Linked DNA regions of Notamacropus eugenii. The protein of the gene in region 1 interacts with the protein of each later gene in a pairwise test. Links are inferred from orthologs where the notes say so. Each region holds a gene or a part of one and is shown on either strand. Other genes may lie near its edges.

Region 1 (15,122 bases):
TCCTGTGTTCCCCATCCTTTAATGTTTGACCTATCTCCTGCCCTGTCCTTAAATCCTTAAACCATAAAGATTTCCCTTTGTCTCCCTCATCCTAGGTCAGCCTGTCCTGTCTTTAATCTTTAACTTCTATAAAAACCTTTAAAATGACATCATCGTTCTGAGACCTCTCTATAAACATAACTCCCCCAAATTCAGATTCTCCTTTAGCTTTCTTGCTAAGGAGGACTGTGATGCTTTTTCATGTAAAATAAAAAGCTCCCGGAGGAGCCAAGATGGCGGAGTAGAAAGATACACATATGCTAGCTCCAAACCCACAGCCCATAAAATACCTGTAAAGAAGAACTCCCAACAAATTCTGGAGCAGCAGAAGCCACAGAACAATGGAGTGGAGGAGATTTCTGTTCCAGAGAGACCTGAAAAACTGACCTGAAAGGTCCATCACGCACTGGACCCAGAGCAGAGCCCAGCCCTGCCTTGGCCACGTGGCACCAAGGGGAGCAGATCCGAGCAGGCTTCAGCGACAAAATCTCCAGCAGCCACACAGGTCCCTCCACCCACAGGCACCAAAGGTCAGTGAGAGAGTCTTTTCAGCTCACTGACAGGGGAGCAGGGTGTCTCCATAACTCAGGTCCCCTTGGGAGACAGCAGCGGAGGCAGCAGCACACAAGGGCTCCCAAAGCAGGCAGAAGCTTGGATCCATTGTTGAAGGTCTCAGCGTAAACCCCCTGAGGGAACTGAGCCCCGGTGGTGGCTCTACCCCTACTGGATCATCTGAACTTAATCTCACACTGAATAGCAGCCCTGCCCCACTGAAGCCCTGAGGCTGGGAAGCAGCATTTGAATCTCAGACCCCAAGCGCTGGCTGGTTGGATCTGGAGGCGAGATGGGTGTGGAGAGGACACGCAGAAGTCAAGTAACTGGCTGGGAAAATGCCCAGAAAAGGGGAAAAAAAATAAGACCATAGAAGGTTACTTTCATGGTGAACAGATATCTCCTCCCTTCCTTTCGGATGAGGAAGAACAATGCTTACCATCAGGGAAAGACATAGAAATCAAGGCTTCTGTATCCCAAATATCCAAAATAAATATTAAATGGGCTCAGGCCATGGAAGAACTCAAAAAGGATTTTGAAAATCAAGTAAGAGAGGTGGAGGAAAAATTGGGAAGAGAAATGAGAGAGATGCAAGAAAAGTATGAAAAGCAGGTCAAACCTTGATAAAGGAGACCCAAAAAAATGCTGAAGAAAATAACACCTTGAAAAATAGTCTAACTCAATTGGCAAAAGAAGTTCAAAAAGCCAATGAGGAGAAGAATGCTTTAAAAAGCAGAATTAGCCAAATGGAAAAGGAGGTTCAAAAGCTCACTGAAGAAAATAGTTCTTTCAAAATTAGAATGGAACAGATGGAGGCTAATCACTTTATGAGAAACCAAGAAATCACAAAACAAAACCAAAAGAATGAAAAAATGGAAGATAATGTGAAATATCTCATTGGAAAAACAACTGACCTGGAAAATAGATCCAGGAGAGACAATTTAAAAATTATGGGCCTAGCTGAAAGCCATGATCAAAAAAAGAACCTACACATCATCTTTCATGAAATTATCAAGGAAAACTGCCCTGAGATTTTAGAACCAGAGGGCAAAATAAATATTGAAAGAATCCACCGATCACTGCCTGAAAGAGATCCAAAAAGAGAAACTCCTAGGAGCATTGTGGCCAAATTCCAGAGTTCCCTGGTCAAGGAGAAAATATTGCAAGCAGCTAGAAAGAAACAATTCAAGTATTGTGGAAGTACAATCAGGATAACACAAAATCTAGCAGCTTCTACATTAAGGGATCGAAGGGTGTGGAATATGATACTCCAGAAGTCAAAGGAACTAGGACTAAAACCAAGAATCACCTACCCAGAAAAACTGAGTATAATACTTCAGGGGAAAAAATGATCTTCCAATGAAATTGGGGACTTTCAAGCATTCTTGATGAAAAGACCAGAGCTCAAAAGAAAATTTGACTTTCAAACACAAGAATCAAGAGAAGCATGAAAAGGTAAACAGCAAAGAGAAGTCATAAGGGACTTACTAAAGTTGAGCTGTTTACATTCCTATATGGAAATGTAATATTTGTAACTCTTGAAACTTTTCAGTATGTGGGTACTGGGTGGGATTACACACACACACACACACACACACACACACACACACACACATACACGCACACAAAGACAGAGAGCACAGAGTGAATTGAAGAGGATGGGATCATATCTTAAAAAAATGAAATTAAGCGGTGAGAGAGAAATATATTGGGAGGGGAAAGGGAGAAATGAAATGGGGCAAATTCTCTCTCATAAAAGAGGCAAGCAAAAGACTTTTTAGTGGAGGGAAAAAGAGGGGAGGGGAGAGAAAAACATGAAGTTTACTCTCATCACATCCCACTAAAGGAAGGAATAAAATGCACACTCATTTTGGTATTAAATAAATAAATAAATAAAAAGCTCCTATTGACTAAAAGAGAAGGTCTAAGTAAAACCTGAGCCATCCTCTCCCAAAATCTAAACCTCAACAGAGCCAAAGGAGATTCTGCACCGCCTGGGCCTGGCCCCCAGCTCAGGCCAGGCTCAATCTTTGAAAGACAAACTTTCACAACCGGTGTTAACTTGAAAGTTTGGTGAAAGTAGAGGCAACAGGCTAAAGGTATACATTTTTATTACACGGATTCCATGGAGCCAATCATTATAATCTGGCTGCTCAGTACAGGGATAATCAGGCTTAAATACATTGTACCGTGAGAAAGAATCTTTCCTAGTTGAACAAATTGTAAATTTAGTGAGACCAGACAGTTAACAAAGTAGTGTTACTTGGGATTTATGATTCCAGGCTGTGTAAATTTCTTCTCTATAACATCTCTATGACATACGATAGAGAGAAATCCCACCACTATGCTGGCAGACATCTTGTCGTAAAGAGGTCTTTGAAATTGCTGATACAGGAAAGGGCATTTTTTAACAGAGTTGACAAAGTTTCAATTGAAATTACAACTCAGGATATCTGTGTTTTCCTTACCATTAACATGCCATAACATAGTATGTGTCCACAAAATATTAAGATATGGAAAACGTCCCATTATTTCAGAAAAAGTGTCTTAGGCTAAAGGTCTCTTAAGGAGTGTTGTCAGCCCTATCTGCTTTGTTGACATAGCAAAAGCCATTCTTTGAATTTACTTCAGAGAGAACAAAGAGACTGTCAGCTCCAGACTCTTCTTCATTCAAGCTCTGGCTCTTAGGTGTGTGTTCATTGCCGAAGAAAACCATGCCATCAGAGAAATAATGACATGACTTGCACTTGACTTTGTTTTGAGTGAGGGAGGGCTGTGCAGGTCACCAGCCTCACTTTTCCTCCAGAGCCATCTGAATCCAGTGACCAGATATTCATCAGGATGATTGGAGATGACCCAAGATGAGGCAGTTGGGGTTCAGCGACTTGCCCAAGGTCACACAGCTAGTGAGTGTCAAGTGTCTGAGGTGAGATTTGAACTCAGGTCCTCCTGACTCCTGCACTGGTGCTCTATCCACTGCACCACCTAAGTTCATTCTGATAGGTTAAAAGCAGAAAAGGGGATGACTAATGTCGTCTGGCTGACCAGATCCAGGTGAGAGGACCTGTGGTTGGGACATTCCCCACAAGAGGAGTCTCAGGCATATAGTGAAAGGGAATGCATGCACAGGTATACACACCTAGTGGCCCTGTATAAATTCTGTCACAAAGAGCTATGTGGTTCCCCTTAGTCCAGTGTCCCTCATAGCATCTTACTATAAGTTTGGATCCATTCTCCCTAGGGAAAGTGTATATACAAAGAGAGCAGGCACTTGGTTTGGGGAAGAGGCCCACAAGGAATTTTGTGCCAACTTTTCTCACTCCAGCCTTCACCAAAAACTAATGGAGCCTACTGTTCGATTCTCCCCGGGAATGGTGGGGTATTGGTGGTGGCTGATGGAAGCTCCTGCCCTAAGGGTTAGCATCCAGAATCCAGAGAGGAGAAGTCACAGCGGAGGGACTGCCACATGTACAAGATAAAATTCTTAGGGGCAGCAAAGGGCCTGGTGCAGGAGGAGAGCCCTCCCCTTGAAAGGAGTGATATCACAGAAGAAAGGAGGCAGCTTAGAGGTGAGAAAAGAAGGGGGTAAGTGGGAAAGAAGTGTGGGCAGCAGCTTGGCATAACAAAGGCCTGATGTCTGGCAGGTAAAGACCAAGAACCATCCCCCCAGTAGCTCAAGGGTCAAAGGGTCCAGGTTTTCAAAGGGGTACCCTAGGAAAAGATTGCTCCAGATCACAAATGGCAGAAATACAAATGGAAGCAACTTTGTTTGGGGTGTGTGTGTGTGTGTGTGTGTGTGTGTGTGTGTGTGTGTGTGTGTGTGTGTGTGACTCAACTAGCTACCTCAAAAGCTGCAGGGGAAGGGGTGGGGTTCTGGAGAAGAAGGAGGAGGGGCCTGGAAGCTGACCAGCTCCCCTAGATGGAGGCCCCAGGAGGAAGTCACCATGGTGAAAGGTTCTGCCTTGGCACAGAAAGGGTGTTCCAAGACCCAAGCTCTGAGGCCACTAGCTTAGACAGACTTTTGAAGTCCAGACAGTCCAGAGGGATTTGGATCCATGCCCCCAATGTTACCAAATTCTGCATGCCTTTTGCCACAGAAGGGAGAGACTTTGGAGGCTGTAGGAACGTTCTGCACCTGGTTCTGGTCCTTGTGTGCAGCAGCCTGTGAGACTGGCTTCAGGTTCTCAACTGAGCAGAGACATGCCCTCCAGAGACTTCCTGTCTCTAGCATGGATACCTCCTTCATGGTCTGGTGTGAGGCAGCCAGGCTGGGGCTCTCTCCTTCTGAGGAGGCCAGATTTCAGTTCTTTGTTGGCCTCTGGGTTCATTCTGTCCATTGATAGATGGAGTTGGAGGTTTTGACCTTTTGAGCATAAAAAGGTCAAGAGAATGAGTCTTTGAGATTCTGGGATTCTTTGGTCCGACCGGCCCAGCCTGGATGCCAAAGAGTTCCATGAGCCGACAAGTGACCAAATGGCTGTGACCAGTCATTTGGCATGAAGTTAGTGGGATGAAATCTCTCCAAGCCTGAGTCCCCTCTCCCCAGACAGAGGGGAGAATGTGACCTCTGGAATTAAGCAGGAATGTCTGTATCTTAGAAGTAAATATCGCTTTGTGAAAGCTAAGTAAAGAGCTAGGTGCTAGTCACCAGTACCCAGCAGTGAGATACCATTGCTAGGGGGGTGGGGGGCTCCAGCCATAGCATTAGGGAAGAAATCCTCCCCTACTTCAGGCCCAGGAGGGGCAGGCAGGACATGATGGAGCAGCCTGGCTCTAGGGGCCCCCTGGGCAGACTTCTGTCCTGCATGAACAATGTATCTTCAGACACTTAATGTGTTTTTACGTGACTTGAAATGGGAATTCCCTTTCTACTACCACTGCTTGGATTTTGTGATTGTTATATGGAAATGCAGTTGTTTTCGGAGGATGTATTTTGTACCCTGATACTTTGATGAGGCTATTAATTTTCTCCACTAGTACCTCTGCTGATGCCACTGTACCTTCAGCCAGTGGTGATGGTTTTATCTCTTCTTCCCCTACCTCCATACCTGTCCTTCCTCTCTCTCATCTCAGGGCTGTTGCTCTCCTTTCAGGGATGATATCAAATGAGAGTGGGAGAGAGGCCATCTTTGCTTCAACCTCACATTTATTAGAAAAGGTTCTAGGATTCCCCACTGCATGCTATGCGAGAGTTTGGCTTTAGATAGTTTCTTGTTATGGTCTTTTTAGAAGTCTCTCTACGCATGTACTTTCATAAAAGTGTTGTATTTTGTCAGAGGCTTTTTCTGCATTTATTGGGATAATCATTTGGTTTGGGAAGTTTTGAATTTTAATGACTATGTTGATGGTTTTTCTAATGTCGAATCATCCTTGCATCCTTGGTATAAAGTCCACTTGACCTGTTTGATAGGATTTTGTTTAAATTTTTTGAATCAAAGTTCATTAATAATATTGGCCAAGGGTTTTATTTTTCTGTTTTATCTTTCTCTGATTTAGGTATTAGGAAAACGTGTGTCTCATAAGAGGATTCTGGTAGTGATGAGGGCTGGACCGAGGGTACCAGGGGCAAGTCGTCTGGAGAAGAGTTCATACTCAAGCATTGTTGAAGTCAAGGTAAAGATTTATTATGCTTTTCAGCAGGCGAGAGTTCTTATGGAATCTGCAACCTTAAAGAGATACAGGGAAAGTTTATATAGGATATTCTATAGGATCACTTGTGTCAAATATGCTAACTAGGTGTTTTGGGGTAGGATTAGGGAGTGGTCAGTTCTTAAAGGAACATGCACTTTGGATATCTACTGCGCAGGTATTTTACCCAAAATTCATCAGGAAATAGTCCAAGGGGGGCTGCCTGGGGGTGTGGTTTTAGGCCTGAAACTTCACTAAGTCAACCAATGGTCAGGACTGACCAGGAAAAATCAGGCTTCTCTCATCAATGTCTTTTTAGACAAGATTAATGTAAAGGAGTATAGGTAAGAATACATATGATTGGTCAGCGAGTAGTAAACGTCGTTATGACCCAGTACACAGCCAGTTCAGTCAGTACATAACTGGTTCAGACTAATAAGTTCTATAGATGCCGCTGGCTTTTGTATTAGGAAGGGAGAAAACAGTTGTTGCTGGGACAGGCCATGTCCTTGGGCTGGGGAGAAACTACCTGGGAGAGTGTTTTGAGGCTAGGGAGAAATGTGATTTTTAAAGAGAAATGTGATTTTAGAATTGGGGCCCAAGTACATGCAACCAAGCATCCCATCAATAGGATGCTTGGTTTCTCAATTTTTCTGTTTTTGAGAATGATTTGTGAAGCATGTGTATGAACTTCTCATATTTTTCCCAATTACATGTAAAATTAATTTTTAACATTCACTTTTAAAATTTTGAATTCCAGATTCTCTCCCTTCACTCCCCTCCTCCCCTCTTGAGAAGGCAAGGACTTTGATATAGATTAGACACATGCAGTCACAAAAAACATGCATGTATCCTCAATTGTTAAAAGGCTAGCTAGAATTCTGTGAAGCCTTCGAGACCAGTGGGGCTTTCTTTGGTGCCTCCCTCACAACTAGATCTACCTTCTTTTCTGAGACTCAGTTTACATAGGATCTCTCTGGTCTTCTGCCAGTTTGGGTATTTTACATATTTGAGGGTATTCCTCTATTTCTTTGAGTTCTTGGTTTTGTTAGCATGTGACTAACTGTGCATAATAGACATTATTTTTTATTTGCTCTGGTCTAGCTGTGATTTCACTCCTCCTACCCTGATGACATGTTTCTATGACCAGGGGGACCCCAGTCCCTATCCCTGCTTCCTGGCTTTGTTGTGTGAGGGTAAAAGAAATCTTTGATCGATCAATGCTCAAAGACTTGTAGGGCATTTGGCATCAATCTCATCCCAAAGCCAGGCCTGAATTAAAAGGACGATGGCCTCTCAGCCCTCTTCCTACACCAGGTTGAGCCAGGTAATATTGGCAGCTGTTTGGAGGAAGACTGGGGATGAGGAGACTCAGGCAAGGCCATTGATTAGGTGATATTGCAGTGATCTGAGTGAGAAGTGATAAGGTGCTGAAGTGGGGTGTGGACTGCCTGCCTTGGCAAAGACAACTGATGGGAGAGACGCTGAGGATGGTAAAGCCAGGCGTCTTCTGTGATTAGATATGGTGAGAGTGAGGAGCACAGGCTGAGAGTTAGCTGGTCAACAGGAAGGTTTCTTTTTCTTTGGCTTGCTTAATAAGCTCCTTGCATATTCACTTCTCCTGGGGGTGGGGGAGGGGGAGAAATAGCACAAAATTAGGCACAATTCATATGTTAAAGAAAGGGGGAAACATATTAAGGAGTATGTAATGGATGTGTAAAGAAGATTGTGACCTAAAGAGGAAGCAATTGACAAGGGATAGTACAAAGGTGAAGTGGACCAGAGTGTATGTAGCAGAGGTGAAATGGACCAGACATGTAGCAGAGGTGAAATGGACCAGAGATGGTGCAGAGGTGAAATGGACCAGAGATGCTGCAGAGGTGAAATGGACCAGACATGTAGCATAGGTGAAATGGGTCAGAGATGTAGCAGAGGTGAAATGGACCAGAGATGTAGCAGAGGTGAAATGGACTAGAGATGTAGCAGGGGGGAAATGGACCAGAGATGTAGCAGAGGTGAAATGGGTCAGAGATGCTGCAGAGGTGAAATGGACCAGAGATGTAGCAGAGGTGAAATGGGTCAGAGATGCTGCAGAGGTGAAATGGACCAGACATGTAGCATAGGTGAAATGGGTCAGAGATGTAGCAGAGGTGAAATGGACCAGAGATGTAGCAGAGGTGAAATGGACTAGAGATGTAGCAGGGGGGAAATGGACTAGAGATGTAGCAGAGGCGAAATGGACAGGCTTTGGCACCACACTGGACCTGGTAGCTGACAGTAAGGAGTACAGGGTGACCCTGGGAGCCTGAGGGCCTAGGAAGATGGAGGTGCCCTCTGCAGTCATAGGGAAGGAAAGAGGGTTGGAGGGAAAAGGTGGAGTTGTATTGAACATGTGGAGTTTCAGATGTCCACTGGACAGACTTCCAGTTGGGGATGTCTGGAAGTCAGCAGAGAGGTCAGGCCAGGCCAGGCAGATTTGGGAATCATCAGCATGAGCTCATGGAGGCTGAGGAGATGACCCAGAGCAGTGGGACAGAGGGAGAAGGGCAGAGGGCCCAGGAGCCCAGGGGGACACCGACAACACAGGACTTGGCATGGAGGAGGGTCCAGCCGGGAAGCCCAAGGAGGACTGGTCAGAGAGGGAGGAGGAGAGACGGGGTGGTGGGGTGGGGGGTCGTATTTCCAAAAACCCAGAGAGGAGAGTGGGTCCAACAGTGTCGAGTCCGTAGAGAGGCTGAGGAGGAGGATGGGGAAAAGGCCCTTTTGGTCACTTCAGGGAGAGCCCCCGCGGGTTGTTCGAGGGCCCCCTTCGACGTGAGATCCCCAAAGCCAGAAGCTAAGGGCAGCCCTGGGTGCGAGGGGGGGGCAAAAAAGAGTAGGAAGAGGCCGGGGTTGGGGGGCCTGCGAGCAGCCCGGCACGCACGGAGGCGGGGCGGGAGAGGCCGAGTTCCGGAGTCCAGACGCGACCCCTCCTCCTCGGCTACCACATGGGCCCCAGAGAGTCACGTGGGCCGCTGGCGCCCCGCCCCCTCCGCGCGTGGGTCCCTCGCGGTGCTCGGTGCGTGCGGACGTGCGGAGGCTCACTCGGCTCAGCCCGGCCCTGCTGCTCGTTCCTGCTCGGCCCAGCCCCGCTCCCACCTCCCCGCGCCGCCGCCCGCTGGAGCCGCCGCCAAGATGCCGATGTTCGTGGTGCAGACCAACGTGCCGCGCTCCGCGGTGCCCGACTCCCTGCTGAGCGAGCTCACGACGCAGCTGGCCAAGGCCACGGGCAAGCCCGCCCAGGTACCGGCGGGGGCGGGGAGCGTGTGTGGACCCGGGGACCGGCAGGGGGTGGGGGCGCGGGGTGCGGTGGCTGTGATGGCGGGAAGGGGATGCGACGGGGGAGGGCGGGGAGTGAACTCGGTGGGGGGGGCCCAAGAGGGCGGGGAGGGGGCAGGGAGGGGGCTCGGTAGGGGGGGCCCAGGAAGGCGGGGAGGGGGCGGAGAGGGGGCTCGGCGCGGGGGGGGGGGGGGGAAGGCGGGGGAGGCGGGGGTGCTCCCCGGGATGGAGGGGAGGGGGCCCCGGCAGAGTGCGTAAATGGCCCAGGGAAGCCCGTGACCCCCCACCCCCGGCCCCCGCAGTACATCGCGGTGCACATCTCGGCGGACCAGCTGATGGCCTTCGGGGGCTCCTCGGACCCGTGCGCTCTCTGCAGCCTGCACAGCATCGGCAAGATCGGCGGGCCCCAGAACAAGGCGTACAGCAAGCAGCTCTGTGAGCTGCTCACCAAGCACCTCAAGATCCCGGGGGACAGGTGAGGGGGCGCGGCGGATCGGGGGTCCCCAATCTGGGCCTCACCCCCCTCCTTGGTCACTGGAGGCTACTGGGCAGGCAGATCGCTCCAGGCGCTCTCCAGCTTAAACTTTAAACTGGCCCCAGGCCTGCGGGTATTGGGGAGAGGAGAGGACTGGGGCCGGGGAATGAGGGGGAGGGGAGGATCTGGGGCTTGGAGGAGGACGGAGAAGGGAGGAAGTGGCCCAGGGCATGGGGGGAGGACTCTAGGGCCTTGGTGCCACAAGGTGGGGGGCACACAGGGGCCACTTCAGGGCCTGAGCACCCCCTTTTTCCCTGCCAGGATCTATATCAATTACTATGATATGAATGCTGCCAACGTGGGCTGGAATGGCTCCACCTTCGCCTGAGGGCCCCTGCTGGACACCTCCCTAATGGGCACACATCTGGGCCCATGCCTGTCCCCTTTGCTGTGTGATACCTCCCTGGTTCTTGTAGTTGAAAAATAATAAAATGCTTTAAGGTGTGTGTGTGTGTTGGTGTGTTAGGGCTGGAGTCTTGCTGCTGGGCGCAGGGGGCAGGTTGCAGTGTAGCCAGGCTGGGCTGGGCCCCTCCCAAGGCTGCTGTTGCCCAGTGCCAAACTATACAGTCTGGCACTGGAGGCTCTGTGCACAGGGTCTGGAGGAGGGGGTTGGGCTGGGGTGGCCTCCGGGACAACACTCAGACCCTGGACTCCTGGCCCTGGGCTGTGGTGGGCTTGGCTCCCAGAGGCCCTTGCTAAAAGTCTCCAATTTAGGCCCAAGATCAGGAAAATCTCCTAAGGGCCCAGCTGAGCTCCTTACTGCATCGGTTTAGTGCCAGGTTCTGGGGAGGGTTGGACTAGAAGCTGGGGGCTAATGGTGGGATCCCTGAGCAGATGTTTTATCTGCCATTGTCCACCTGAGGAGGGTGCCCAGGGATCCTCAGGTTAATTTCCTACCCTGGGTAGGTGGCAGCTGAGGTACTCCAACCTGCCAGGTTTAACAGTGCAGTAGGATGGTTGGGGCATTCACAGAGGGCCTGGGTGGCTTGGGTCTAGGGACAGGCCACCTGGCTCTGCTGCCTTTCCTACTTCCTAACTGTTCATGCACCAGTTTGGGGGTGGGGAGAGTTTGCAGGCCTCCTGTCCCACTCTAGCCTTTCCACAGTCTGGGCCTGCAAGGAGACCTGGGTCACTGCCTTGGGCCTGTCCCCTAGATGCAGCGTGCTTCTTAGCTTCTCAGAGCACCTCCTGTTCTATCCACTTAAAGTTGGAGAAACCAGCTTGGGCACCTGGCCCAGGGCCAGGCTGTGGGGCAGGAGCCAGATGGGTAGGACTGGACCCCTCACCTCCCCCTTGTCTGGTGGGGGCTCCAGCCACTCCTCTGCAGGGGGCAAGGCAGGCAACAGGTCCCTGCCCCCGGGCCTTGTCGAGACTGGTCACAGAGCCTTTGGGAGCCTGCTTGCTTCGCTGTAAAATGGGGAGAATGACTGTGTCCCCATTTCTTGGGGAGGTGGCAGCCCAGCCCAGTGCTGGGGGGACCATCCCCAGCAAAAGGAGTCAGAGCCAGGGGCTTCTCTGGCCTTTAGAACCCTGCATGGGTGGTAGTTAGGGGGTCTGGTCCCAGTCCTGGGCAGACCCCTTTATTCGCATCCTATTGGCGAATCCTTTATTCAGAGGTCAGTGGGGAGACTAGCCATGTAGGAAGGAACACTCCCAGGGCTGGACATCTGAGACAGACCAATCAGTGCACAGTTAGAAGGCGATGGCTGCACACTGGGCTCTGCGGGAGCAGAGGCGTTGGGGACCAGTGTAGAAAGCTGGTGTCTTAGGGAGCCTGCACCCACCCTCTGAACTCCTCTGCCTTCCTGGTCCAGAATAATGTAGATGCTGGGGGAGCATGGGGGCTGGACCTCTGACTGGTGGGGGAGAGCAGTGGGCAAGGTGGGAATCCTGCAACTCTAACCCACCCAGTTCAACCATTGACTCTTCCCCCAGAATCATCTTCCCTGAAGGGGTCCCACCCTCCTTCAGCCCCACCCGGCAAAAAACTGTGCCATCTCTGGGCACCGACTGGTGTTGGCTTGGCCTGTTTCCAATCTCCACTGATTAAGCACTTATGTGCAAGGCTGTTTCCCTCTCATAAACAGTGCCAGGAAAAGAGTGGGTCAACACACATATGCAGTTGAACTTAATCCAATGAATGAAGTAAGCGCCTACTGTGTGAGAGGCATTGGGGGGCAGACCGGGGCTCCTGCCCTGCCTGGGCCACCTCCTGGTCATCTGTGTGATCTGGGCAATGGCCCAGTCCCTCAGTGGGCCTGGATAAACAAGGAGTAGAGCTGGTGCAGGTTTGAGGTGCTGCATGTGGTCTCCTTATGAGGAGCTCCCCAGATCAATGCCTTCAGATTACCTTTCTGAGAGGGGGTGCCATGGATGAGATAGCATCATTTTGGGTGGGGAGGGGGAATAGGCAGGGCCCCCTGGAGGCCAAGGTCCAGGATTCCAGCTTGGCACCTTCCTTCCCAAAGCCAGGCCTGCACTGGGTGGGGGCAGGTAGAGTCTCAGAGATTTGAATTTTGTCAGCATTCTCATTCCCTGGGTGTAAAGCCCTTTTCTTCCAAGGCTCACCCCTTATTTTAGCTTTCAAGGTCCCAGTCTGCCCTACCCTAGTCTCTGGCTTCACCTCTTCATTTGGTCCTCTGCCATTTTTCTACCTGTAGACTACCTCGCTCTACTTTCTGGCCAGCCTGTATACAGGTGGGCATATTCCGCCCTCTTTAGAGTGCTCCCTCACTAACCTGCCCCTCTCTCATTGAGCCCAACTCCTTCAAGGCCCAGCTTTCCCCAGGTAGTCCCCCCAGGTCACCAAAGCCACATAGATCTCCCTCTGTCCTCTCTGCCTAGACACCAGCCTTTCTTTCCCTCTCAGCAGTACTCTCTAGAGCCTTCTTCTAGGGATCAGTGCAGAAGACCAGGGGCTGGCAGCTTGCCTCTCCTTACCACCTGGCCCCTGCCAACCTCTAAGTACTGTGATCACTCATCCTTGCATCTTGGATGAGTACATAAGGTCAAGAGCAGGTGCCCAGAGCCACAGTCCAGTGGCAGGAGGAGGCAGCTAGTGGGGGTAGGGGTGGTGCATCAGGTTCATGACACCTTTACTGAAGGGAGAGAGGATTTGATGGCCCCCCCCCCCCCTCTTCCCTCTCCTGTCCTCAAGCTCCCAGCTTTGTGGCCATCTCCATGGCATCATGTAATCCCTGATGGGAAAGGTTAATGTGTGAATTCTTTTATCCCTTTATGAAGTATGAACCCCTGTCTGACTGAGTTGGAGGGGGCACCCAATGATGCACTGACTGGTCTTGCTGGTCCTTTGAAGACAATGGGATAATTTACATTCAGGCAGACACGGGGTTGCCGGAGGCCTCACTCACTTTCTGATGCTACATTGAGTGCTGGGGGCAAAGGAGGGGCTGGGAGAGCAGCAAGAGGCTGTCACAAGGAGTGTGACCAGGCCTAAGAAAGGAAGGCACTGATCAGGCACATGGAGTGTCAGGACAAATGCTCTGCTGCTGAATTTCCCAGCCACAGACAGCCTCCCAAAGCGACTATTTTATATCTCCTTTCACCCCTTGGGTTCCCTCTGTGCATGGGGATAAGAAATAGAGATTTAGTTGTGCCACAGCACTATTTCTAAATGGCGGCTCAGAGCTATAACCAAAGAGAATTACAGAAATCCTTTTGTTACAGTTTTCCAGAGGAGTCAACAAGTCAGCTGACAAACATTTATTAAATGCTAACCATGTGCCAGGCATTGGGCTAAGTGCCGAGGAAAAACGCAGAGCATAGAAGCGGCTGGGGGCGCCACAGTGCACATAGTATGGCACCACAGGGGCAGGAAAACTGAGCTCAACTTTTGCCTCCAATATTGCCTAGCTTTGCCTCAGTAAGGTGGGGATCTTATAGACCCTATGTCCCAGGATTGTTGTGAGGGTCAAGTACAAGTACTTCATAACTACCTGCTAGCCCCTAAGACCCAGAGCCCTGGAGCGTCTTGTGCCCCAGGTCACATATGCAATAGGTCTCCAGGCAGACTTGAATCCAGGTCTTGGTGACTTGGAGACCAGCTCTCCTCCATTCCCCATCCCCAGGACCCTTCCTGCATGCTCTCTTTGGGTGCGACAAGTCTCCAGGTGGCCAGGTCCATCAGCGCATTCCCCTTGTGTTCAACTCATGTCATTAATTTAGCAAACATTTATTTGTTGCTGTTTAGTTCCCAGCTCTTCCTGACCCCACTGGGGATTTTCTTGGCAAAGATACTGCAGCCCTTTGCCATTTCCTTCTCCAGTTCATTTTGCAGATGAGGAAACTGAGGTAAACAGGATGAAGTGACTTGCCTACAGTCACCCAACTAGAAAGTGTCTGAGGCTGGATTTGAACTCTTGGCTCTTCCTGTCTCCAGGCCTAGCCCTTGGCCCTATCTTTGGCCTTTCTTGGAATTCACAACACTTAGTTGTGTTTGTCCTTCGTTTTCCAAGAGGACCGTGACATCAGGAAAATGATGACATGACTTGCAGTTGACTTTGTTTTGAGTGAGGGAGGGCTGTGCAGGTCACCAGCCTCACTTCTCCTCCAGAGCCATCCGGATCCAGTGACCAGATCTTCATCACAATGACTGGAGATGGCCCAGCATGCCATGGAAGACCTTGGCCCTTTTAGGTTAAGGCCTTTTCAGGTGTTCACTCAGGTATTCAGTAAACCGGCCTCGGAAAGAAATAATCAAGGGATGGCTCCTTTTAATTAGAAAGACAAAAGCCAGATCCAGCTGGGAGGGCGAGACCCTCAGGGCTGCCGTAGCAAAGAGAAATAATTACCATAGATGTAGGCAGTCATCCAAGAAGGCGGGAACAGCCATTAAGCGGGGCCCGGGCCGGCCCTTACAGTGCTGCAGTCCAAGGGCTTCAGTGGGAACTGCGTTTAAGGTTTTGGGAAAGAAGGACAGACAGACAGAGAATGAGCTACAGAGTGGACTGGGGGAAGGAAGGAAGGAAGGTGTTTAGTGAATGGTTACTGATGGACGGACTGGGGGGAGGGGAGGCGGTACACTGGGAGG
Region 2 (16,168 bases), on another chromosome or scaffold:
AAATGAGATTTGGGTTGGAGGGTTGAATTTCAAGATTGTAATGTATTTCTTAAAGTAAGCTCTAAGTCATGACCACATTTTTGTGTGGCAGAGATAGCATAGAGAAGGTTATGGAATTGAGCAGTTGTGTCATCAGGCTATTAGAGGACTTGTCATCATGAATACTGGATGATAGGGAAGAGAAAAATAAAACACTAAAGTAATTGAAAAGATTGAAAGAATGACCTAATAAACCCACATAATCACCTGCCTTTTTTACTAACAAAGCTCAATAGTGAGAGATAGAAATTTCATTTAATTTCATTCCATTATAAAATTTTGAGGAGTCTACCTGCCAAAACAAACCCAGGAACTATAAAACACTTTTCACACAAATAAAGTCAGATCTAAATAATTGGAAAACATCAGTTGCTCATGGGTAGGCCCAGGTATTATAATAAAAATGATGACTCTACCCTAAGTTAATTTATTTATTCCATGCCATACCAATTAAACTACCAAAAAATTATTTTATAGAGCTAAAAGAAAATAATAACAAAATTCATCTGAAGAACAGAAGATCTAGAATATCAAGGGAATTAGTGAAAAGAAATGCTAGGGAAGGTAGGCAAGCTACACCAGTTCTTAAATTGTATTATAAAGCAACAGTCATCAAAACTGCTTGGCACTGGCTAAGAAATAGAGTGGTAGATCAGTGGAATAGGTTAGCTACACAAAGCATAATAGTCAATGATTATAGTAATCTACTGTTTAATAAACCCAAAGACTCCACCTTCTGCGATAAGAACTCACTTATCCCAAAGAACTCACTGCTGGGAAAACTGGAAAATAGTATGGCAGAAACTAGGCATAGACCAACATCTTATATCATATACCAAAACAAAATCAAAATGGTACATGATTAGATATAAAAGCTGATACTATAAGCAAACTGGGAGAGCAAGGAATAGTTAATCTGTCAGATTTAAGGAGAACGGAGGAATTTATAACAAACAAGAGATAGAGAACATTATGAAGTGCAAATTGAATAATTGTGATTACATTAAATTGATAAGTTTTTACTTATCAAACTTTTTACTTTACAAACAAAGCCAATGGAACCAAAATTAGGAGGGAATTTTTACAAACTCTCTCTGATAAAGGCCTTATTTCTAAAATATATGGAGAACTGAGTCAAATTTATAAGAATTTTGTAGTGGAAAAGATTTGGAAATTGAGGGTATGCCCATCAGTTGGGGAGTGACTGAACAAGTTGTGCTATATGAATGTAATGGAATACTATTGTGCTATAAGAAATGATAAGCAGGTGGATTTCAGAAAAACCTGGAAAGACTTGAATGAACTGATGCTGAGTGAAGTAAACAGAACTAGAAGAACATTGTACACAGTAACAGGCACAATATGCAATAACTAACTTTGATAGACTTATCTCTTCTTAGCAGTACAGGGGTCCAAGGATAGCTCCAAAGGACTCATGATGGAAAATGCCATCCACATCCAGAAAAAGAACTATGGAGTCTGAATGCAGATTGAAGCATATTATTTACTCTCTCTCTTTTTTGTTTTTCTGTTTGTTTCTTCTTTCTTATGGTTTCTCCCATTGGCTCTAATACTTCTTCATAACATGACTAATGTGAAAATAGGTTCAATGTGAATATATATGTAGTGCCTGTATCAACATGCCTTCTTCAGGTGGGGGGAGAGGAGAGATGGGGAGAAAATTTGGAACTCAAGATCTTATGGAAGTGAATGTTGAAAACTAAAAATAAACAAATAAGATTTGAAAAAAAAAAAAAACTTGAAAAAAGAACGACCTAGACATCCTAGATGATGGATGAAGGGATAGATGGAGAAAGGGAAGAGATGGCTACATAGATGCACAGAAACAGAGACACCATTTATTATGTGCATACTATATGCCAAGCACTGTGCTGAGCCCTAAAGATATAAAAAAACAAGCAAATGTGACAGTTGAGTAGCAGAAGGAATGACCACTTGGGGAGAGGATAGTAAGGCTTGTAATGTCTTCAGGAGAGACCTGGATTTCCATTTAGGTGAAGGGGTAGAAAGAATACTTTTTGAAATGTTTGAGGATGTAGAAGAGTTTATTAATGATGGAGCAGGGATTCCAAAGGATCCCCAATAGTTCATAGGTGAACCAGGTTCAAGTGGGGCTATGGAAGATGATTTGTGATTAGAATATGGATTAAAGTTTAGGAGAAGTTCGTATGGGCATGCAACTTGTTCCAAGGCTTTATGAGCAGCATTGGAGAGGTAGTACAGTAGGAATTAATTTGAGGTGGCATGTGCCTTTCTTTGGTAGAACCTAACCATTAAAGAATTTACAGTTAACCAGGACCAGAGTTTGAAAATTTATGACTCCATCAGGTTTTCCCTCCAGGTGTTCCTCTGTTCATGGAACAGCTGGGCCTTCTTAGTTTTAGCTAGGACAGTTAAAAGGCTATTGAGTGTATGAGCAGCCTCCATGGGGTAATTCCTCCAGATTTATTAATTTATTATTTATGCCATTAATTGAGGCATAAATGAACAACAACATGGTAATGACTGAACAATGAAATTGTGCTATTTCAATCTATTGCACTATTAAAAATGTTAAGATTTGCATTGATAAGAGGAATATCAAGAAGTGTGAAAAGACATGAATTGATGCAAAGAATTATAAGAACAAAGTATATTGACAACTGTAAAAAATAATAGTAACAAAACTTTTGAGTGTACGTATACAAAAGAGATCAGATGGGGAAATAGTGTTACATTATTATGGTTATATTTAATTATTCAGATGATGTTATATTTGTATTTTTATTCCATCTTATTTGTTCATTTGTAGCAAGATACTTTTTAAAATATGAATGAAGATCATGAATATGCAAAGAATAAGTGGGGAAATAGTTCTCTTTTCCTGTGTCTGTCCTTTACTTTGTGTGCATGATTATTTTTCTGTTTGTATATAAGGCACCTAGAAGATGAGGAATTGTGACTGTAAGCTTTTAAAAGCTTATTGGAGACAGAAACTCTTAGATTTCTTCTGTATCTCCAGTTGCACTTCACATGGAGTTACATGCGCAATAAGATACATAGTGGGTACTCAATAAATATTTGAACATAGCAGGTAATTTTCTTTGTACATTAGCATACTCCATGAAAACATGGGTTTTTATTGATGAGTACCTCCGTATGGTTCTCACATCTCCCTTCCCTTTTTTTTTTCTTTTCCAGGTCTTCCTTCAGAAATCCAACCTCACAGCAGAGCTAGATGCCTTCTGCCAAGCTCATGGTTATGATGCCTTTGTTGCTATGACTATCACTTTCAATCCTGATAATGAACCAGTGAGGCATCTGGTTGTTTTCTGTCCTAGCATGGACCTCCAGAGTATGGTGAGTCCATAGCCCTTCAACCTAACTTCCCTCTAACCATAGGGTTAGGAACTCTGTTGATAGCTCTCATCCACCCTGAATTGACTCTGTGTGTACAGAAAGTTACCTTGATATAGAACCTGATTTTTTTGTTTGGAATGTTAACAGAGTTTATAGCCTTATCCTGGCTGTTGGTGGCAGGAGAAGTTACAATAGAAACATGAATCATAGTCTCTACCTTCAAGGAATTTTAAATCTGTTTGAATGGAGCTATTCTAAGTTGATAATCAGTTCTGGGTTTTCCTCTTTACTTAGTCACTCATCCTTTATCCATATCCACTCTCCATTCAGATCTTGCCTATTCCTTTCTATACCTGATTCTATACAATCCTCTGTAAAATTCAGGTGAATTCTTCCCACCATGAAAGAATTAGTTGGGTTATTAATTATTGGGTGATATTCTTATAGAAAATATTGTGGACTTGGCCCCTTTCCCAATCTTGTTAATCATCTGGCCCCATCTGCCCTTTTCTCACCTCTTGATGGTTACTGATTAACTCAGGGAAAAATTTTGAGGTAGAAAGGCGAAGGGATTTCTAGGGCCATATGAGATGTCAAGGAATGATCTAATCATAATCAGACACTTTTATTCACTTAAATAAGTTATATCCATCCTTTCCTTGGTTCCTTTCTCTACCCTATTCCCAGCTGCCCAGGCTGGACAATTTGATTCAGTCTCAGAAGGCAAAGGGTATTCAGGGAAGCAGGAAATGTCCTTCATTCCCTTTACTGTTACTGAGTCCAAGGCCCTTCTGTCCCTCTTCTCAGACTGTGCCAGTGGTGGGGAACTTGTGGCCTCGAGGCCACATGTGACCCTCTAGGTCCTCAAGTGGACCTTTGAATCTAAACTTCACAAAACAAATCCCCTTAATAAAAAGATTTGTTCAGTAAAACTTGGACTCAGTCATAAGGCCATACCCAAGGACCCTGTACCATATATCATCTGGATTGCCTCTTTTAGAAGACTGGTTTTTATTCTTCTCGATATGTTCTACTGTTTCCTCTTTCTGTTGCATTTGATTATTCACTCCAGCTCCACAGTGTTTTCCCTTTATTCTCCAGGTAAGTGCTTCTCTCTTCACAGCTAGGGACGGGTGTAAAATCTCAAGCATGAGGTTACCCCTTTTGTCTTTAGGATGAGACTATTTTAGGAGCTCAGCTCAGGAGGTAAAGTTCATTCATTCTTATCTTTTCTTCCTTAGATCTGTGGAGCCTTGGAATGTTCCAGCTGTCCACCCCTGAATCTGACTCCAGCCCCATCCCCCCACCCTAACCTCAGGGCCTATTTCCAAGGAAATGTTCTTGCTTCCAGGAAGAAAGTTCTCCCCATCCTCAGAGATGCCCTATGGGGGCATCCTGGTGCCATGAAGACACCTTCAGGGACGCCTGGGCCAGAAGGCTCCTCTCAGGAGCAGATAGATGATGAACTGGACAAAGCCATTAGTACCCTGATTCCCGAAATGATTCGAGATGAGGAGGAACCTGTGCTGCCCCCCACACCCATGAACAGCTTAGTAGACGAGTGCCCTCTGGATCGGGGACTACCTAAGCTCTCAGCTGAGGCTATCTTTGAGAAATGTAGCCAGATCACAATGGCACGTTCCTCTACCAGTCCTCCCCAGAAGAAGAAGTGACCTATGGTGTGGGAATAGGGGGGAAGTTGCAGAACAGAGTGGGAGAAGGTGCCCAGCCCAGCTTGAATGCATGATTTGGAATATGTAGGGAATTTCTGTGATTCTCTTCATTGCTCCAGGACCCAGGGCCACTATTCACACAGCTGTGGAAGGAGATACAAGTCAAAGATGTGATGGCTGTAGGGATGGTTGTCTACCTTCCCTGCCAGTTCTCTACCAATCAGCCAATTTTCTCTATTGATAAATTCTGGAAATCTGCACTGACCTCATTCTTTTACAACCCAGGGGTATAGCATCTCACACACAGATCTGTGAAAAGGTAGATATTAAGAAGAAAAAGAAAATGGTATCAGGTGAACTCCATCAATGTTGTCAGCCCCTATCTGAACAAAGACTGGGTACCTGACTGCGTATCCTGTGCTAGGTAGAGCAGAGATAGCTTTGGAAACTTACAGAGTTTTCAGCCTATTTATGAAATGTAGGACCATGATTTTTCTGTCTGCCACTATTGAGATGATAGTATTTAACTTGAAAGTTAAATTTCCATTCAGCTGGTTCCATAAAATTGGTTGTGGACTCTCTCCAGCATTGCAGAGGATTATGCTTGAGGCCAGATAGTGAGTCTCATTTTTCTGAGCAGGTACTAGGCTTTAGGGTTCTTCTAGTCCCCTTTTCCAGAGTGCCAGAGGTTCTTAAAGATTAGTACCTGATCACATCTGTGAGAGCTAATCAGTGAATCATTGTCACTTTCAAAAGACACTTTTCTCTCAAAACAGTAAAACTGAAGCAATGATTCATTCTCTGTGTCTCTGCCTCTGTCTCTGTCTGTGTCTATCTGTCTCTGATCTGTCTCTTGTTTCTCTCTTCCCCTACCTTCGATTTCTTTCACGTTTCTTACCTCTTTGCCAGTATTTCCTCTCTCTTTGTTTAGGAGAACAATTGGTGTTGTGGAAAGAATTGGACTGAAAGTCAGGAGATGTGATTTCTACTGACTTTGGGTTTTATTTTATTGATGTCCTTTGTATTTACATCTGAATTTGTATTTACATTTCTGAATATATCCCACCTCACTCTTCTACCCAGTGAATCATCCCTTGTAACAAAGATTTAAAAAGAAAGAAAACTTAAGTCTGTACTGTGGGACTGTGGGTGTCAGTCAACCTTGCTGAGCTTCTGTTTCCTACTATGTAAAATGAATTAATCTTTATCGAACACCAAGATTTCTATCAACTGTACGTCTTTTATCTGTCTCTCCCTCTATTTTTCTGTCTTCTTTCTCTATCAGTTTTTACTTGAGGATGTGAAGTGGGAATATTTCTCCCTCTCCCCAACTCAGCCCAGCAAGGTCCAGTATTGTTGAAATGTGTGAGTGTGTATGTGTGTGTGTGTGTGTGTGTGAGAGAGAGAGAGAGAGAGAGAGAGAGAGAGAGAGAGAGAGAGAGAGAGAGAGAGAGAGATTAGGCCAAAGGACTCAGCCTCATGTAGCATATCCAAGTATATGAATCATAGCATAGGAGCAGCCTTTCCCTGGCTCGCCCTCTGTTCTTCCCCTGTAGTGGCCTCCTGTACCCCTCCAACCGGCCTGCTTCCTTTCCACTTCTTTATGTTCCCAGATGAGCAGAGAAGGTGCTGCCATTAACTTTACTGAGTATTTAGGTATCTCCCACCTTTTGGCATGACATTGTCTCTCAGAGAGAGAGAGAGAGAGAGAGAGAGAGAGAGAGAGAGAGAGAGAGTGTGTGTGTGTGTGTGTGTGTGTGTGTGTGTGTGTGTGTGTGTGTGTGTGTGTGTGTGTGTGTGTAGACTGTTTCTTTGAAGGACGTCTGCAGCCATATGAAAGAAAAAAAGCAATGGCATAATCATTGAACCAAAGGAATTTGTGTTTTATAATTGTGGGGAGTTTTATTTTGCACTTTGTTAAGGCATTAAATGCATTTTTCCTGTCCTGTGTCATTTTTTCTTTTTAAAAAACTGAACTTTTACATTTTCTCCTTTTGCCTTCCTCCTATAAATCTCATCCTTCCCCTGCCCAGTTTTGCTCTTCAATATGGATGGTTAGTGACTGCCCCAACCCATCTCCAGTTCTCTTTATCTATTCCCAAAATAAATGATGCCATGTTCGAGCCCTTTTCTCTGTTAATAGAGACCTACACCCTTCTCTATTTTACCCAGCCTTGCTCACCCTAGTAAGGCTGCCAAGAATCATATCAGTTGTGCGACTGAGGAGAGCGGCCTAAAGAGGTACTTGCTTTCTCTTAAGCACCTCCAGAAGGCCAAGGGGCTGGGAGAGAAAGGGGAAAGGCCAGTTCCTCATATACACAGATTCTTTTGCTTTCATTCTACCCCAACCTACCTGTCCCTTGGAAATCTAGTCTGGGAACCAAAGCATCCTCTTCCCACCCACCCACTCCCCACACCCCTGCATAAAGAGGCGGATTTTCTTTGGGCAAGCCTCTTTGGGAGGGGAGGTGGCAAAACCTGTTTGAAGATGAGTTTACTTCCCTCTCTCTACCTCCTCCTCTTTTGGAGGCCATCAGAGCAGTCACTGAGACAGCAGCACAAGAGGGAAGAAGGAACAGGGAGCTTCATCCCCACTCCTCATGTTAGATATCTAGGGAACAGAGAGACTTGTGAAGATGGGAAGTTTACAGGAATCAAAAGATGTTGGGTAAGTGCTGGGCCTTCCCCTCTCACCTGGCTGTCTTTTGGAAACCTGTTATCATTGGTCTTGAGGGGGCATCTCTTTGAGTCCCATTAATTGGGCTCAAGCCAAAGCTCAGGGTGGTTTTATAGAGGAGATGGGACAAAGTCGTTACTTTTGGCAAAGAACAGGGATAGTTTTAAATAGAAAGTATAGAGACAGAAAGGACCCCAAAAGAGCTCCTTGGGCAAAATGGGAAAACATGATGATTCTATCCATCCTTTCAGTTCTAATCCACACTCTCCAAAACAAGGAAACTGGAACCAGGACCTTCTTGACTGGTTTCTTGTACCTAGCTGATGTTGACCTATACCTTGATTTCCCTGGCCCCACCCCACAAAAGTTTGGAGAAAGGCAGGCCTGACTGGTTGTCATCTTCCTTAACTGTAAAGTAACAAACAACTGGGTAGATCTGTTCTGGATTCAGGCCAGTTGCAATATAGACTGCCTCTCAAACTAACTTTGCAGGTGGGGAAACTGAGTTAGGTATAAGGTATTCAAGTTATACTTTTTCCTGTTTCTGTCCTCAAAACCAAAGAGTAGGGATCATCTGGTTCACCGAGAGAGTGGGAAGAGACATCTGGCCAGATTCTCTTATGGGTCTGCTGTTTATGCCCTTGGCTTCTTCCTATCACTGCCAAGAATAACGCTGCCCACCTAACCACTTCTCAATTCCTTTGTCCCTTGGCAATGGTCTCAGGGCTGGAGAGAATGTGGAAGCAGAAGAGCCGGGACCATCACTGAGATTTGGAGAAGTGGAATTGAAAGAAGAGTGGCAGGATGAAGAGTTCCCCCGGTGAGAGGATGGGGACAAGAGGCTCAGGAAACTCTGGGAACATAGCTGGGGAGACAGGAGGGCAAAGTTACTGTGGGAAGGGCAGGACTTAGCACCCGAGTCCCAGCTTCTTCCTGCTCTCTTCAACTAATTAATTCCCCACATCCCAGTCTGCTCCCTGAGGAGATCAATTCCTCTGAAGATCCAGAGGACAATAGAGAAGGTACCCAGATGGGTGAGTAAGGTCAGAGCTGGGTACCAAGCCCTGGTTTTTACTGTGGGGAGGGTGGGCCTCCCTTGTCCATCCTCAACACTTGCCTGGTTTTCCTTCCCTCATGTCCCTCTCGTTAGTTCTACCCTCCTCCCTCTCCCTTGTTGTTCCCAGGCTGTTTAATTTACCTTTTTCCTCTCTTCAGTTCTCTTCTCCCTGTTGCCCCAGGTCCCTTAAACACTTTAGCACTATGTGGCAGGCGTCACATGCGGAAGCGCCTTTCAGCCCCAGAGCTCCAGCTGAACTTGGGGGAGGACACAGGAGATAAAGAAGCCTCTTCCACCCTCTCCACACCTTCCCCACATTTTAGCTCTGACCTAGATGTGGATGCTTTGGAGACTCCCTCAGACTCAGAACAGCTGGACAGTGGGCATGAATTTGAATGGGAAGGTAGGAACTGAGGCTAAGAACTAAACTAGAATAACTGAGGACTGGTGGAATGAATGGATTGGGGTAGAATAACAGGGCTAATAGAGTGGGAGACAATTTTGGAGGCACAATAAGGGGAGGGGCCAGTGAGGGTAAAGATGTACTTAATAAGTCCGTAAGAGGCATAGCTAGTAGAGCTGAGAAATAATCATTTGAAGTTAATAGGATTGATCTAAGACATGAATTGTTCAAGTTGTTGGTTCCCCCACTGGTGATCTTCAAGCAGAGGCTGGATAACCACTTGTCAGGAATGTTTTAGAGGGGATTTTGGGGGGAGTAGGTAGAGGTTGGACAACATGTCTTTTAAATTCTGTGAACTAAAAGAGCAGTTAAAAAAGTTAAAAAAATTCAATAAAAATTGTACTGGACCTAAATTTGAGGTCCTCTCTCTGGACCTCAGAGTAAAATGAGGGGTACAACCTAGATAATCCTTAAGGTCTCTTTTAACTCTAAATGTTTTGATCCTGAAAATGAGGATACAAGTGGGAGATCAGTATGGGAATGGAGCTATAAGGCAATGGGTGGGGCTAACATAACCAGGAATGTGTGTATCTGTGCATTTTTAATATATTTAAATATAATGCACTTATAAATTTATATATATGTACACACATACATACATATTGTGTGTGTGTGTGTGTGTGTGTGTGTGTGTGTCTTTGCAAGACTTATATCAAAGGGGCAGGCTTTAAAAGTAATTAGTGGGTATATAAAAATTAAGTAACTGGGAGCTGGAAAGGACATTTCATTAGAGTCCCCAAATGGAACAAGGCCACCAGTTATCCCCACTGTGGGTACAACCGTGGCTATGGTCACTGAGAATTGGGAAATAATGGTTGAAGTGGGGTGATAGGGAGGTGTATGGGATGTAACTTAGTGGTCATGATCACTGCTTCTATTACACCCAAGAGTACTGAGGTGTAAATTTAGCGATTCCTGTCTCTTTAGATGAGCTTCCCCAAACAGAAGGCCTAGGGGCAAGTGAAGCAGCTGAAAGACTGGGCCAGGGTTGTGTATGGGATGTGGCTGGGGAGGATGGTCATCGGTGGAAGGTGTTCCGAACAGGACATCGGGAGCTTCGAGTGGATATGACAGTCATTGAACCCTATAAGAAGGTCCTGTCTCATGGAGGTAATAAATATAGGAGTTGGGTTCCCTGTAATTAATAGTATTTGAGCTGGGACTAATAGTCCCCTTCACCATTTTAACTTCCTAACTCCCTGTCCCTTTCCCTCTTGGTCTGCCCTCAAGCTACTTCTCTCAGACTTTACTAATTCTCTTTTTCCTCCTGCCCCTAATCTTGTCCTCCCCAGGTTACCATGGCGATGGCCTCAATGCTGTTGTCCTTTTTGCTTCCTGCTACCTACCCAGAAGCAGCATCCCTAACTACAGTTATATCATGGAGCACCTGTTTAGGTGAGGAGGGAAACCTGAAAAACTGTGGGGAGATTGGACTGAAGGAGGGAGAGGGAAAGAAGTCAGAAAGACCTATAACATAATCAGTCATCAACAACACCGTTTTCTACTTTTCATTCCCCTTCCCCCTCAATTCCACCCTCAGATACATAGTGGGGACTCTAGAATTACTAGTAGCTGAGAATTATCTGCTTGTCCACCTGAATGGAGGCACAAGCCGAGCCCAGGTGCCCCCACTGAGCTGGATCCGCCAATGTTACCGTACCCTGGACCGTCGGTGAGAAGCCTGTCAAAGATCATTATTCTTGGCTGTTTTTTACCTCCTCCTTTCTTCTCTGATCTCATTCCTTTCTCTTCCCTTGTTCTCCCTCTCTTCATCTTCCCCCATCCTTTTCTCTCTCTGCCCTTCCCTTTTTTCTTTCTTTCCCTTTCTCCAAATATTCTTTCTCATTTATTTTTGCTTTGTCCCTGCTTTCTAGACCCATGTTTCCTTTTTCTCTCAGCCTTTCTTGTTCTCCTCTATTCACTGAGCATGTGCCACCTGGAGTTCTGGTACAAGAACTCTGTGGAATAGAAAGAATGCAAGAGGGAGCAAAGGAGACACAAGAATGAGGAAGAAACTAGGAAACTATGGCTAGGGGAGTGCAAAGAAAAGGAAATTGTGAAGGCTTGGATTGGATCAGGGACAGAAGGCATTTCAGGAATTTCTTCAGAATGAGGAGGGCATGAGGGACAAAAAAAAGAAGTGAAGGTCTTAGACTGCAGCTAGGATGAGGGTTAGACCTCAGAGAGAGGACTGCAAATGGATGTTGATTAAAGGGGGTACCAAGAAGATTTGGAGGAGACCTCCCTCTGGGCTTGGGGCACAGATCAAGAAGAAGAATGTGATGATCCCATACTTTCTGCTTCAGACTCCGAAAAAACCTTCGTGCACTGGTGGTTGTACATGCCACATGGTATGTGAAGGCATTTCTGGTGATGCTCCGGCCTTTTATCAGGTATTTACTTTGGGGGATGCAGGCGTCCTGCTCCTCAGATCCACTGCCCTTTCCTCTCTTCCTTGAGTTGAGGACTGAAACTCAGATTTCCCACCTTCCCCTCCCTCATTCTGGTTCTAACCATTCTCCCCTGTCCCAACTAGCCATTGATTACCTTTGTCTTATGTATGACAGCCACTTTTCTAATCTTAAATGTACATGACCTTTCCTCTATCCTGAGTTCCAAGTTTAGCAGAAAGGTTCGTTTTCTGGACAGTCTAGGAGAGCTGGCCCAGCTCATCTCCTTGGAACATATCCACATCCCTGATGCTGTCAGACAGTGAGTTCTAGGAGGGACTCCTAGGGTGGGAGAGAGGGGAGGAGTAGACAAGCAGAATCTTGTGGAGAGATAAGAAATGAAAAACCTAGTTCTTCCCTTCAGAACTTGGAACTTAACTGGGAGATGCAGCACTCAAGAAAGTGACATAAGAGTTCTCTGTATTTGGCCCAGGCACATATGTTGGGTATAGGCTGGGTAAAATCCCAGAGAAACAAAAAAGAGTGGGCAGAGGAGGATAGGGTTAGAAGAGAAGACTCTCTTGAGGTGAGTTTGGAAAGAGGGGAGGGACGAAGATCGTGGGATCACAGATGGACAACTGGAAGGGGCCTCAAATGTCCTCTCTCTATTGAGGAGGGAACTGAAGATAAGAAATGTGGGTGCCTTGATCAAAATTACACAGGTAGTAACATGACTAATGTGGAAATATATTTAACATGATGGTATATGTATAATCTATATCAGATTACTTGCTGTCTTGGCGAGAAGGGTGGGGAGAGAGAAAATTTTGAAAACAAATCTAATTAAAAGTGAATATTGAAAACTATCTTTACATGTAATTGGAAAAATAAAGTATTATTAAGTGGGAGGGGGGAGATTACACAGATAGTGAGCAGCAAAGCCCCATTTGAAACCAAAATCCCTCATGCACAATGTGGGGGAGACTGGTCAGAGTTTTGAGAGGCAGATTTTATGTAGAGAAGCTAAGGAGTGGGGAAAAGTAGAAAGGACTCAGACATATATTTACTAGATCCATTCGTTCCCCCAAGTTAGAGTAGGGTCCACTTCTGTGGAGGTTCCATTCCACTCTGTCCTTTCTCTCTCCCTACAACCTAGGCTGGACAAGGATCTGCATGGCTCTGGAGGGACCTAACACTGATGTTTGAGTTGGATAATGGACCCTAGAACCAAGGAAGGAGACTGCCCTCCAGCTACTGAACCTCCTGAATTTATACACACATTCTCTCTCCGTCTCTGAGTGTCTGTCTTTCTCTCTCCCCTAATTCATTCACCCTTTTTGGATTTTCCTTTCCAACTCATCCAGGTGTTGTCACGTCTCAAATTTCCGGGATCCAGGGAATTCTCAACTCCCACCACGCCATGCCCTTTCCATGTAAGCCTAAGGGCTGGGCTGAAACAAGGCAGGTTTGGACTGAGTATTCACCTGCAGCCTGCTTGTGCTCATGACTGTATTAGGCGGAGTGAGCTGTCTGAGCTGCTTTTCTGCCTGTCTCAGTAGCTGTCTTCATATCTAGATTCTTCCTCTACAACAAACTGCAGTTTAATAAATTAAGTTACGAGAGAGGACTCAATTTTGTGAAGGAAACCTCCCCAGTTCCCATCCCAATGACAGTCACAATCTCCTTGCCTGCCAGTCCTACCTGCAACGCATGTCTGGTGGAAAGGTGTACCCAGGAGGCAGAGATGATAGGGGTCGGGGCGGGGCTGGGAGTTCTATGGCGAGGTCCCTCGGTTTCCACGCAACGCCCCAGGGGAAGTGTCACGAGCTGCCGGACTTCCCCTCAGTTCAAACGAACCCGGGAGTCCGGAACGAAAAGGGAGGGAGGGAGAAGGAAGCTGAGCCCCTGCCCCTTCCCTCCCCTCCCATCTCTACCTCTCCAAACTGCCTGGAAACCTGTCATCCCCATGATCCCCCCCGGCCGCGCGCTGCTCTGGGCCCTGTGGCTGATCCTGGGGGCCAGTGCCGTGAAAGCCAGCGTCTTTGGTCAGAGTCAGGGCGGAGCGGATTGGGCTGGTGGCAGCGAAGGGGACACCGGCCCGGCAAGGATCCCAAACATCGCGAAAAGGGATGAACCTGGTTTGGTCGGGAAAACGATAGATCTGGAGGAATCGGAAGACGACGAGCTGGCTGCCCCTGCTGCGGCTGAGCTCCTGGAAGACTCATTGTCCTTAGAATCAGGGGAGCAGCAAGAACAGGGCCTGGAGGAGGGCCAGGAGGTAGACGGGGATGAGAAACAGAAGGAAGACCGAGGGAATGACGAGGACCTAGCGCAGGAGGATGATGAAGACCAGGACCAAGAACTTAACGGGAAGGAAGAGCAGGAGCAGCATTCCAGAGACTCAGGGCAGGATCAGGGGCAGAACCAAGAACAGGGCGAGATGCAGGAGCTAAAGGAGGAAGGCGAGCAGGAACAGGAGAGAGACAGAGGGGGCCGAGGACGGGAAGAGGCGCGAGAGCAGATGCAAGGGCTGGAGGAGCAGAGGCAAGGCCAGGGGAAAGAGAAGGCTGCAGGGTTGGACCACGAGCTGAAACAGATGCAGGTAAAGAAACAGAAGGAGCCGCAGGAGCAGCAGCAAATCCAGGCTCAGAGGCAGAAACTGGGGCAGCCTCGGGCGAAGGAGCAGCGGCAGATTCAGGTACAGGGGCAGCCTCAAGTGAAGAACCCCCTGCAGATTTCGGTGCCGGCGGTAGAGCAGCAGCAGGCGCAGGAGCCGCAGCACATTCAGGCGCAGAAACAGGTGAGGGGGCAGCCGCACATTCAGGCCCAGAAACAGGTGAAGGGGCAGCCGCACATTCAGGCGCAGAAACAGGTGAAGGGGCAGCCGCACATTCAGGCGCAGAAACAGGTGAAGGGGCAGCCGCACATTCAGGCGCAGAAACGGGTGAAGGAGCAACCGCACATTCAGGCGCAGAAACGGGTGAAGGAACAGCCGCACATTCGGGCGCAGAAACGGGTGAAGGAGCCGCGGCAGATTCAGGTGCAAAAACAGAAGCAGCAGCAGCAGCAAATCCAGGCTCAGGGGCAGAAGCTGGAGCAGCCTCAGGCGAAGGAGCAGAGGCAGATTCCCCTGCAGATAACGGTGCCAGCAGTAGAGCAGCTGGCGCAGGAGCAGCCACAGGTTCAGGAGCAGACGGCAATGGAACAGCAGCAGATTCCAGTGCCCTGGGAGGGGCAGCCACAACTGCCGCCGCAGGCCAAGGCGCAGGAGCCAGGGCTTGTACTGGTACAGGCGCCGACACAAGGGCCAGTGGAGGAGCAGTTGTTCCTCGAGGCTTCTGAGCAGGCAAGCATGGGTCTGCGCCCTGAGCTCAGGAGTAACAGCTCGGAATTTTTCCCCAGCCCCGATGTCGGGGCCTATGAGCCACAGCAACCAGTACCCGAACAGGGGCTTTCCAACCTAGGTCAGGTTCCTCCTCCAGAGATGCACCTGATGATGCTAGCTTGGGGCCCGTGGGAATGTCATTGCCCCACAGGTACCATGAGCAGGGTTCGGGGAGGAAAGTTTTTGGATTTTACTGGGCGTCTTCGATCTGGACCCCTGAGTCGCCTGCAGACCCAGCGCCAGCCCTGCACTTATGCCCGTTGCCACTGTAACCAGGAGAAGAAAGAATGTCCCTTAGACCACGTCTCTTGCTCCTCCATCCCTGGTGCCTGCAACCGCCGTGCTTCCCTGACCCCACTGGGGAATCCAGAAAATACCATCAACGAAACGATATTTTGGAAGCAAGTCCGAGAGGGGCTAGAAGAAGTTTGGTTAGGACTCCAGTCTCTGGTGACTAAGGAGAAAAGGGTGAGCATTAGGGATGGATGGATGGATGGATGGATGGATGGATGGATGGATGGATGAGTCATTTATTATTAAGCACTTGCTATGTGCAAAGCATTGGAGATTCCAAGAGGCCAGCCCCTGCTCTGATGACTTATCATCTAGTGAATTATCTAATTCATGGTTATTATTAGTTTTATATCAATATTTGATTTAACATTATGTGCCAATTAGTCATTGAAATCAACATATTTAGATGCTAGCTAATAGTTTCTTATCAAATAGTTCTTGATTATTCTTTGACAAGTCTTTGTTGGTCATCATTTTGTTATGAAAAATCACTGAGATTGTACAAAGCAATCATTGTACAGATTAATCCTTAATAAATGGAAACCAACCCATTGGTAGTTATTAGGTGTGGATGGATTAATGATTTATCAATTTGTTGGCTAAAGCAACTCAAACAGCACCTACCGACTGGGCAATGATTTATTTTAACTGAGTAGTATAGTTCTTTTATTTGAGGAGTAGGTTGATTTTTCAGTATAAAGAAGAAGTCAGTTAAATGGGATATACATTTGTCTCTGTCACTGTCTGTCCCTCTCTCCCTCTTAATGGGTCTTTTTACATACCTGTAAATGTCCAATGAGACTATAGATTAATGCATAAAATGAGTAGGT

What was found.
Region 2: the proteins of MIF (region 1) and BNIPL interact in a two-hybrid assay, tested with the Homo sapiens proteins (2 studies listed by BioGRID and IntAct). The link is inferred for Notamacropus eugenii from reciprocal best matches to the Homo sapiens genes MIF and BNIPL.

What each region holds. Positions count from the first base shown.
Region 1 is NC_092875.1:1,502,323-1,517,444, reverse strand, and holds MIF (macrophage migration inhibitory factor), read left to right. Parts: upstream 1-8,916; 5' UTR 8,917-9,393; coding exon 9,394-9,501; intron 9,502-9,839; coding exon 9,840-10,012; intron 10,013-10,333; coding exon 10,334-10,400; 3' UTR 10,401-10,516; downstream 10,517-15,122.
Region 2 is NC_092873.1:304,903,177-304,919,344, forward strand, and holds BNIPL (bcl-2/adenovirus E1B 19 kDa-interacting protein 2-like protein), read left to right. Parts: upstream 1-7,566; 5' UTR 7,567-7,708; coding exon 7,709-7,740; intron 7,741-8,473; coding exon 8,474-8,569; intron 8,570-8,718; coding exon 8,719-8,783; intron 8,784-8,987; coding exon 8,988-9,209; intron 9,210-10,196; coding exon 10,197-10,379; intron 10,380-10,561; coding exon 10,562-10,664; intron 10,665-10,809; coding exon 10,810-10,941; intron 10,942-11,575; coding exon 11,576-11,864; 3' UTR 11,865-11,882; downstream 11,883-16,168. Other genes in the region: exopolyphosphatase PRUNE1, read left to right, coding at 3,241-3,399, 4,641-5,072; C2H1orf56 (protein MENT), read left to right, coding at 13,326-15,512. UniProt on the Homo sapiens protein: May be a bridge molecule between BCL2 and ARHGAP1/CDC42 in promoting cell death.